3 linked regions of the Canis lupus familiaris genome follow. The protein of the gene in region 3 interacts with the protein of the main gene of each other region in a pairwise test. Links are inferred from orthologs where the notes say so. Each region holds a gene or a part of one and is shown on either strand. Other genes may lie near its edges. The genes, in order: CCND2, CCNA1 and CDKN1B.

The links.
Region 1: the proteins of CDKN1B (region 3) and CCND2 interact in binary tests that used the Homo sapiens proteins (3 or more experiments, as listed by UniProt). The two-hybrid records come from large-scale screens. The link is inferred for Canis lupus familiaris from reciprocal best matches to the Homo sapiens genes CDKN1B and CCND2.
Region 2: the proteins of CDKN1B (region 3) and CCNA1 interact in binary tests that used the Homo sapiens proteins (3 or more experiments, as listed by UniProt). The link is inferred for Canis lupus familiaris from reciprocal best matches to the Homo sapiens genes CDKN1B and CCNA1.

The regions. Positions count from the first base shown.
Region 1 is NC_049248.1:5,502,541-5,506,190, reverse strand, and holds part of CCND2 (G1/S-specific cyclin-D2), read right to left. Parts: intron 1,369-3,650; coding exon 1,209-1,368; intron 1-1,208. UniProt on the Homo sapiens protein: Regulatory component of the cyclin D2-CDK4 (DC) complex that phosphorylates and inhibits members of the retinoblastoma (RB) protein family including RB1 and regulates the cell-cycle during G(1)/S transition.
Region 2 is NC_049246.1:4,254,761-4,258,281, reverse strand, and holds the end of CCNA1 (cyclin-A1), read left to right. Parts: intron 1-107; coding exon 108-312; intron 313-1,227; coding exon 1,228-1,341; intron 1,342-2,235; coding exon 2,236-2,369; intron 2,370-2,645; coding exon 2,646-2,697; coding exon of another isoform or gene 2,698-2,714; 3' UTR 2,715-2,911; downstream 2,912-3,521. UniProt on the Homo sapiens protein: May be involved in the control of the cell cycle at the G1/S (start) and G2/M (mitosis) transitions. May primarily function in the control of the germline meiotic cell cycle and additionally in the control of mitotic cell cycle in some somatic cells.
Region 3 is NC_049248.1:12,564,962-12,568,037, reverse strand, and holds CDKN1B (cyclin-dependent kinase inhibitor 1B), read right to left. Parts: upstream 1,650-3,076; coding exon 1,175-1,649; intron 625-1,174; coding exon 503-624; downstream 1-502. UniProt on the Homo sapiens protein: Important regulator of cell cycle progression. Inhibits the kinase activity of CDK2 bound to cyclin A, but has little inhibitory activity on CDK2 bound to SPDYA. Involved in G1 arrest. Potent inhibitor of cyclin E- and cyclin A-CDK2 complexes.

The sequences.
Region 1 (3,650 bases), about 7.1 Mb from region 3:
CACAAAGGTGAAGCAGCCTGTCCAAAGTCATCCAGTGAGAAGTAGCAAAGTCTGACCTTTTGACCGAAAACAGAGCGTATATACTCTTGCCTACTGTGTGATCCATCTGTATTTACTCACAAGTAACATGTAACAAGGTATTGGAAAAAAGTTAGCCCCAGAGTCCCAACTATAAAATTCAACAACTCTTGGCAAACTTGGGCTGAACCCTCTGCACCCCACCCCTCCCCACTCCTCCCCCCCACCCCCCATCCCCAAACAAATGATCTGCCCAGATGGTCGGTTCTATGACGTCTCTATGATTAAGGCTCCAGGGTCTCTCCCATGGCCACTACCAAAAAAAAAAAAAAAAAAAAAAAAAAAAGGTAGAAACTGGCCCAGGTTCAGTTTAAGGAGACCTGTCAACCCTCTGCCTTTAGTTTATTAGAGAAATGCAAAGCATATGGGCCAGTGAGAACTATGTATCAATTGTAGGACCAACATGGTGGGTGGAAAGTTCTTCATAAGAAAAAGCCAGTTGTGACTATTGTGTGAAAGGTTGCAACCAAAATCAAAACACCAGCACTTGAAGGAGTGCATCAAAACTCAGTGCTCAGAACGTGAGTCCTTGCTGAGAGCCAGCCAGGTTTACTCCCCCATCCAGCAGAGGCAACAGCTACATGTATGTGCCCCACAGTAGAAAGAACTCCTCCGGCCTTCCCTTTACTGCTTATCAGGGCAGGGAGCGAATTTATCTTGACAGTGTTCTTTTAACCTATATTTGCCCCCACCCCCCAAAGTTCCTCTTGGGCTTATCTCCAAACCATCCTTTTCCTCAAAAGATTAAAGATTTAAACACAACCAGAGAGCAGTATATATAATCTTCAAAGAGCACTTTAGACATCATAAAGAATATTTTAACAGGCATTATTTTTTTTCCCTTACCACACCCGCCCTCATAAACCATTTATAAGTTGAGCAGAGAAAAAGAATGTACCAGGCTGAGATAAAGTAAATAAAACAGCCCAGGCATGAAACCTGGTAGTCTAGGTTAGTGGGACCACCTATCTCCTAAACCTCTTAAGCCCATGCCAGGTAGTACGCCAGGCTGGCTCCCCTTGACCACCCCCTCCAAAAGGACTCTTCAGCCTGGGTGTGCACCTGCTTCCACTCCCCCAGGACCCCGGACCCCCCCAAGCCCCCCACCCCCCACTGTGGCCTGCTCCTACCGGTGGCACACAGAGCAATGAAGGTCTGCGCGTGCTTGCGGATCAGAGACAATTTCTCACTCGGCTGCGGCAGCTTCCGAAGGATGTGCTCGATGAAGTCATGAGGGGTTACGGCAGCCAGGTTCCACTTCAATTTCCCCAACACCACCAGCTCCCACTCCTGATGAGGGAGGGAGGAAGAGAAAAGTATAAAACCCAGAGGCTGACCTGCTGTTGTCCCAGGACTGGGATTGGGGATCCGGACCAGTTTTAAAGACACTCATTTGGACGCTGTGGGATGGTGAGGTGGGCCCATTTGTCCCAGTACCTCCCCCACCCCCAAAGCTTGGAAGTTGTTGACATCTCTTCTTAGGCTTCCAGTGTCAGGCTCGCTGGGCAATAATGAGAGCCCAGGTGGCTGTTGCCAAGATTCTACTTTCTGCCATTTCTTTTCCTGTCTGGCTCCCCGCTCCCAGCCAATCCCAACCTCCAAACAGTACTGTTGCCTGCCCACCCGGAAGGCTGAACCTACAATAAGATACTGCCAAGGTCATTGTGGCCCTTAGGTAGTAATTTATTGTCTGTGTCTCTACCGCTGGATTAATAGTCTTTTTAATCCTCGGGGCAAAAATGATGCACACAGATAAAGCTCAAAATAAGGTTCCTGGGCCCAACTCCTTGGCAACCAATTAGCTTACTTGTAGCTGGTGCCAGAAAGCGCCACTTCTCTCTGCTTTAAAACTTTCCCCTCCACAAATAATGCAGAAGTCTTGGGAAAAGGACACGCAGCCAGAGTGCCCTTTCACCTAAAAGCTTCATAGGCCTTTGTCATCATGACTAAAGGACCCACCAGAGGGTCACTAGCAACCCCATGTTGCAGCTAGAGGTGATGGGGCAAAGTGAAAGTGCTTGTACTAGGTCACGGAATCCCTCCGTTCAAAACTGAGGGTGGCCAGTGCAACTCCCATCTCTCAAGGGCTTCTCATCACCAGCCCACCTTGTGAGAAACCTCTTTTCTCCCTTACTGGGATGCATTTGGAGAACTGTGCTCAAGGTAAACCAAGCCAAAAAGGAAACCCTAAAAATATGTGCAATCAGAGGGAAAATGGGCCTATCCATTCATGCCTTCATAAGAATGAGAGGAGGAGACCTGCCTGCCTGTGCACCCTGCTCCCCCATTTGCCCTAAGAGTCCCCAGGCTATCTCCCATTTGCTAAGCCAGCAACCAGAGCCCCAGCCCCCCTCTTGCAGCACTAAGTGGCTGTGTGATTTGGGGTGCCTCCTTTCCCCTCACTGGGCATATATGAGGACTCCTCCAGATCCCAGCTTTGGGGATAAATAGATGGGGAATGGGCGGGGTGGGGGGTGGGGGGATGGAAGGCAGCGTTTTGGAGGAACAGTATTAGTTAGCTTGGCTGGTCCCGGAAAAACTGGGGTGTCCTGAAGAACACCATGGCCCACCATCACACTGAAACAAATGAACCACATGGAAGACTCATTCTCCTGGTCTCCCATGAGGAAAAGCAAACTGGCAACGAATTCTAACAAACTTTCCTTTACATGCTTTATAATGTTGGCTTTAGCTTTTTACAGGACGTTGGGGTGGAGGGAAAAAAAAAAAAAAGATAAAATTACTAAACCACCAGTGTCTTCTAAGATGGCTTGAAATTCCAGCCCTTTCTTCTCGCAGGGGAATACGAGTGTAAACCACTCGTCTTGTACTATTATTAAAGGAAGCAGATCTCCCAGAAGAAAGCACCTTTCTGGGCCTCCCGGACCAAACCAGAAGCAGCTGAAATCTGGCAGCGGTTCAAAGGTGAAGTCATTCAGGCCCCTCTGCATTCCCTGCAATTCCTCCCCCAACCTTGCACATGTCTGCCACTAGATGGCAGCCCAGCCCCAGAAAGGAAGGCCTCTCACAAAGAGCTCCGTTCTAGCAGCCAGCCCTGGCCCTACGGACTTCACTTCGGGCAGGCCTTGCCAGTCCGGAGGGGGAGGGGCAGCTAGAGGGGGGCCCCTTTCCAAAGAGCGCAGAGAAAGGTGCGCACACCACTCCTGGTGGGCCTGGGTGCCACTCTCCCAAACCACACTGCCGTAACACGGACACGCCTTTAAGTGCGAAGCTGCAGGGAAAAAGAGTTAAGACCGGGTGGGAAAAAGGTTTGTTGCCAGAAAACCAGTCAAGACAGGACCCTTGTCATGGCAAAGAGGTCACAGCCCCGCTGGAGCTAGGAACCCAGGCTTCAGATTCCTCCAATAAAAAGGCCAAATTTTGACTCGGCTCCAAAGTCAATGAGCTGATATTTAGTTAACAGCTACTATGTACAGGTATCTTGAGAGTTTATCCATTGATGTTACCTTTGAACTGTAGATTCTTAGGACACACAGGACAACACACTCCTATCATGTGGGCACATTCCTACCATGTGAGAAGTCGAACTATTTTCTTAGAATTCAGTGGAT
Region 2 (3,521 bases), on a different chromosome or scaffold from region 3:
AGGAAAGAAGTCTTCAAGGGCCATGCAAAAGGCATGGTTGTGATAGCAGAGGAAGGAGCTCCACAGCTTCCAAGATTTACTTCCGAAAAACTCTTTACCTTTCATAGGAAATATGAAGAAATATATCCACCTGAAGTAGATGAGTTTGTCTATATAACTGATGACACTTACACGAAACGACAACTGTTAAGAATGGAACACCTGCTCCTGAAAGTCCTAGCTTTTGATCTGACAGTGCCAACCACCAACCAGTTTCTCCTTCAGTACTTAAGGAGACAAGGAGTGTGCATCAGAACTGAGAATCTGGCCAAGGTATGCTACCTGACTTCCAGGAACTTGGGAACCAAGGAGAATAAAATTAGCCTTTCCCCATCATCCGTCAGTTCTTCCTTCCTTATCAGTTCTTTGTCCTGGGTCCAGAAAAACTTTTTTAGCAATGGAAGAGAGCTAATTTTAGGATCATGATTTCTGGTTATGAGACATCACTGTCCATCACGTTTGGTAGGCATGGGTTATCTGATCACCCAACTCTTAAAAGAAGTTTAAGTTTGGAAACCGTTCCCTTGTCAAATACAGACTACATGTAGGCAAATACCTCTTCTTAGTTAACAGAATGGAAATAAAGTAAATGCAGTTTGATTTGGCTCTCATCTTACCCTAACTATGAAGTAATAAAGCATTATTTGGTCATCTGGGGTTAGTGTACTTTAGTTGAAGGCACTGAAGTATTAGTTTGGAAGACTTGGTTTCCAGTCACTGTGATCCTAGCATATCTGGAATGTATATGCTATGCAAAGAGTAATGAGGATCTATGTATAAATTTCCCAGTATGTTTCTTCTAATCTCGCAGGGACTGTTCTAGCCTCTGAACTACATGCATTTGCCTGACAAATCCGTAGCTTCATACGGTCGTATTTTGCTACTTTATGTGACTGGTATACACCTGTACCCACTAGTAGAAGACAAGAAAAGTAACCTATCATATATACTGTGTAGGTGGGCCAAATCCTTGTATATTGGCCTGTACTACAACACCAGTGCTATTCTGGTTATGGATAGGCATAGCAATTATTAACCCAGTGAATATTTTGAGCATCCGTTTCTGTCCACACATCACTAGATACAGGATGGACAAAGATAAGACAATTTTTTCCCTTCACATTTCTAGGTTTACTTGTAACCTTAGTCAGATTCTAATTCCACTGGGATTTTCTCTCTTGTGCTTAGTATGTAGCAGAACTGAGTCTGTTGGAAGCTGACCCATTCTTGAAATATCTCCCTTCACTGAGAGCTGCAGCAGCTTATTGCCTGGCGAACTATACTGTGAACAGGCACTTCTGGGTAAGATTCCAATGAGTTCTCTACACGAAATGCAAAGCCTATCTAAGAATCTGTCCAGTAACTCTCAAGGCTTAGTATGGACTGGCCTCTCATGAGGGAAAGTTAGTTTAATAAGGAACTGGTTGTCTTGCCAGCAGATGACAACATGTCACTGAGTGTTGCAGGTCAGCTTTTATGGCTTTGACTCAGTGGCCTTGGGGTAGAGATTGCAGGAAGGCAAGGAGATGGTGTTTGCATGCTTATTCAAAAGAAGCAGGCCTGGAAACCTCAATGCCCACCTTATGCCAGGAATGTCCTTGTGGTGCAAGCATTGAGCACTTCAGGCAAAATTTGTTGACTTTTGTTCTATGTGTGTAAAACAATCTGGATCCGTTTAGGATGGTCAGAAATTTGCATCAAGTTTTCGAGGAAAGGGAGCAATTAGTGCTGCCTCTTGGTCCAAAAAGAGGCGAGTTTAGAAACGGACCCTTCGATTGGGTTCTGAAGGCTCACTTTTATGCTAAAAGAAGTAGAGTATCTACTTTTATATTCTAGAATTCTTATTTATTATTATATATTCTGCATCCACTAAGAATCTTTCATATGTAAGATGTAAATAGGGTGTTTAGATAAGAAGAGGCTCTTTAGGGACCAGTAAAAATCCTGCTCATGACAGAATACATAAAAGTAACCTACCCCCAAATTGAGCATTATAAATACACAGTATGAACAAATTGAGAACTCTGGCTGTTCTTCCTAATATTTCATTTCTAAAGTCACTGAAGGAGGATTACAGTTTCTCTTGAAATGAATGTGGATACTTCCTAAGTAATTAACTTCCTTGATTTCAGATTTGTCTTCAGCTTTCTGATATAAAGTTATATGATGCAGTTTTTTTCTTTTTGTCTTGATTAGCCAGAAACTCTTGCTGCATTTACAGGCTATTCATTAAATGAAATTGTGCCTTGCCTGAGTGAGTTACATAAAGCATGCCTTGATATACCCCATCGACCTCAGCAAGCAATTAGGGAGAAGTATAAGGCTTCAAAGTAAGTTTCTGAAATTTTCTTCTCTGAGCTTACTAATTTAAGGCTTTAATAGGTTATAGTAATGTCAGCATTAAAAATAGAACAAATTGGAAATCTCAGTGCTAGGCTCGCATGTTAAATCAGGAAAATCGGTTTAGAGAGGCCTAGATTTATAATATGTCAGCTTGGAATACATAGAGTCAGAAAGCGTTCTTCCTTTCTGTTTAAACTACTGGAAAGTTCTCTGTGGCCTGAGATTTTATAAAACCGAAGTCCTTTGTTTGGGTCTCATTGCAGGTACATGCACGTGTCTCTCATGGAACCACCTGCAGTTCTCCCTCTACAATAAGTCTCTTGCTGAAGTAGTTCCAGAACTTAACCTCCATATCAACAGAATTCATCTTAACTTTTATAGGTTTCTGCAGGTTGGGTCAACTAGTGTTGCTACAATATAGATGACATATTTTTTAAAATGTAAATGTAGTCAAGTTCCCTTAGATTTTAGTAGTTTGTAATATCATCTAACATTTTTTAAAGAATAAACAACTTGCCTTGTGACCACATGTTAGACTTGTTTACTAATTAGGATGGCCCATATGCTTGCCTGGAATTGTAGTGGGGAGCATTATAAATGTCGTCTCTGTTTCAAGAATTCTCCTAAACTGGTTTCATAAATCTGGTATGCCATTGGGATTAAGTGTTTTGAGGAATTCAGAGATTTTCATGTTTGGTGTCAGTGGCTCCCCTGAGACTTTTTTCTTCCCATTGGTTTACTTTTTACACAGCTCTCCATAAATTGGCGAAGGAGGGAACTCCAAGCTTAGACTCATTAGTGAAGGGATATAAACAAGTACAATCTCTTCTAGTTTCCCTTCAGGACCCTAGGGAATAAAGGAAGTGAGTTGAAGACTAGATGTGATCAGGTACCCCTGAGCGGTGACCGACATGTAATTTTAATCCAGGGATGTGATGCTCATTTTGTAGATACCATGATGTCAATGTTCAGTTTTCACTTAGTCACCCATCAAGCATATATTTCAGCCTTAGAAGATGCTCAGAGAGGTAGAAAAAGCAAATTTCACCACAGGATGGGACTTCAGATTTTAATGAAGCTAACCCCTCCTATTTGTCCTCTGTAAGATATCCATACTAAGCTCTCCTCTAGCTCAAATT
Region 3 (3,076 bases):
TCTGCACCCTTTCCCTCAAATTTTAACTTTTATCATTTATTTGCCTTCTTCCCATGTATGGCTCAAAATCTGTTACTGACTCAACTTGAAACCTCTGGGAAAAGAATTCTTATGAAGTGGGACTGAAGCATATCCCAGTTCTTGCTCAGATGGGGGGAAAGAACCTATTGTTCCCAACGGTTTTGGTGGGATTCACAGGGAATTGACCTTCCCACTCATCATCCAGCCTCGGTCACAAGTACTTTGGCTAGGACACTTGCTCTGGTTATTCCGTGTTTTCAAGGAAAAATGACCTCAGGACGTAGACAGTGTGAAAAAAATTACAGGATCCCCACCAGCGATTCCCAGCCTTCCCCATTCCTACTTTTCCACCTCACAAAATAGAAACAAAAACCCACAAGCTCCATTCTGCCAGCAACCACCAAGATTGGGTATCTCGGGGTGTGAAAGCCCATTTCGGAGTGTCAGTTTCTTGCTCCTAGTCATCAACCCACCGAGCAGTTTACGTTTGACGTCTTCTGAGGCCCGGCTTCTTGGGCGTCTGCTCCACTGAACCCGCGTTCGGGGAACCGTCTGAGACGTTTTCTTCTGTTCTGTTGGCTCTTTTGTTTTGAGGAGAGGAATCTAAGGGCAGGAGGGAATTTTAAAAAGAACACACACAATCTTTATTAGAAAAACAATGGCTGACACAAGTTGGCACAATAGTCAGGGGATGAAAAACCCACACCTCCACCCACCATCCTGGATCCGTCATTCCCGGTGGCCTTTAAGGGCACAGAATGAGGTTGTTTTCACATAACAGAAAGTGTATTCTATGCCCCTAGAGCTGTCTCGCTGTCTCTCTCTCTCTCTCTCTCTCTCCCCACTGCAAAGAGGGAGGCCGTTGATAAACATCCCAACGTAGTCACAGACCCAGCGCTGGCCAGCCGGGAGGAACTGCGATGTTTTCGGTTGGAGCAATGATCAGATAACAGCATCTCACTGACTTAAAAACAGGCTCCTGACTTAAAAATCATAAGCAGCCAGGCAGCCAGGCGGACAAGCATTTAAAACCCAAGAGGAGGGCAGTTCGCTCCCCCCACCCACCTCCACTACATCGGAATACTCTGGAAAAGCAAGCTGCGGTTAGGGTCCTGGGCACCCAGACCTTCTCTGCTTGGGGAGGGGTCGTTACCGTCGGTCGCGGGTCGCTTCCTGATCCCAGTGCACTGCTCCGCTAGCCCCGTCTGGCTGTCGGGCGCATCAGTCTTTTGGTCTACCAAGTGTGTGTCCTCTGAGTTGGCCTGAGACCCCAGTAAAGGCCCCGCCTGGCGGGTCCCGCTGACGTCCTGGCTCTCCTGCGCCGGCACCTTGCAGGCGCCTTTGGGTGGCCGCGGGGGTCTGTAGTAGAACTCGGGCAAGCTGCCCTTCTCCACCTCCTGCCACTCGTATTTGCCCTCCAGGGGCTTGTGATTCTGGAAATCAAAATTCCACTTGCGCTGGCTCGCCTCTTCCATGTCTCTGCAGTGCTTCTCCAAGTCCCGGGTCAACTCTTCGTGGTTGACCGGGCCGAAGAGGTTCCTGCAGGCGGAGGGCTTGGGGTACTCGGCCTGTCTGGCGTCCATCCGCTCGAGGCTCGGGCTCCCGTTAGACACTCGCACGTTTGACATCCTCCTCCCCGGTCTTCACGACCGCCGCGAGCGCGCGCGCTCTCTCCCTCTCTCGGAAAACAAAACTGAACAAAACAAAACGCCCCGACCCAGCCCGAACCGCCCCCTAGAAAGCCCTGCGATCGCGCTCGGAGCCAAGAGAAACAAACACGCGCAAGTAACTGCCCGAGCGTCAGGGGCGCGCTGGCCCGGGGGAGGCGGGAGGCGGGAGGGGCAGGGGTGAGGGGTGAGGGGAAGCCCCGGCCCGGCAGCCGAGAGCCGCCGCCGCTCTAGCGGACCGGCGAGCGGGAGGGCGGGGCGGGGAGGGGAGAGGAGAGGAGAGCAGAGCAGAGGCGAGCAGAGGCGAGCAGAGGAGGGCAGAGGAGGGGAGGGGAGGGGCGGCAGAGCCAGTCCAAGCCCGGGCTGCCGCGAGCCCGCGGGTCCCGCCAACCGAGCGGCTCTCCAAACCTTGCGGACGTCGGCGTCGCGGAGCGGCGAGGCAGTGGGGACAGGGGAAGGGGAGAAAAACACCCCGAAAGGACGAGCCCCCTTTTTTTTAGTTGCCCAATATGGCGGTGGAAGGGAGGCTGACGAAGAAGAAAATGATTGACACCGCAAGTCTATTTAAACAGAGGAGGAGATCCATTGGTTGCGGCGCCGGGAGCCGCCCCGCCGAGGCTGGCGAGCGCGGCCTTAAGGTGGCCCCGGCGGCCGCGACGCCTCCCGCTCGCCCCGCCCCGCCCCGCCCCGCCCCGCCCCGCCCCGCCTCCCCGGGCGCGCGCCCGCCTCCGACTGCGCCGCCCGGAGCCTGGCTGGTCGCGTGACTCCGGAGGTGCGCGGCTGCCAGCAAACCTGCTCCGGCTGGCCTCGGAGAAATTAAAAACGAGACAAACAAACTAGCCAACCGGCCGGGAAGCCGGGGAGGGCGGGGGCGGGGGCGGCGGGGCCGCGGGTTCAGGTCCCCGCGCTGCGCTGCCTGGCGCGCCCGCTCCGCGCGCGGGGAGACGGAGGGGGCAGGATCAGATGACCTCCTAGGTGGCCCGGTGGCGAGCTCGTCTTCCCCGCGCTCGCCGAGCCGGGGGTGCGGGCCGCGGGGGGCGGAGGCTGGCCGTGGGAGCTCTGCGCCCCCAGCTGCGCTCTCCCCGCCCGCCCCCCCCCCGCTGCGCTCTCCCCCCCCCCCCCCCCCCCCCCCGGCTCCGGCGCTGCGGGGAGGCTGGGCGGCCTTTGGCGCTCGCGGAGGGGCCGGGAGCCGCGCCCCCGCCCCCGCCCCCGCCCCCACCCCGACCTGGGTGCCTCTGCTAGCGGGGAGCAGTGGTTAGCTCCCTCTGAACCTAGGAGGCTCTGCTGTTCTGGGGGAGGCGGGAGCTCTGGGAAGACGCCAAGGCGAACGTAGGCGCAGCACTTCTCATGTATTCTGAACCCAAGCTCTCCCCGCAATAAAAATAAGA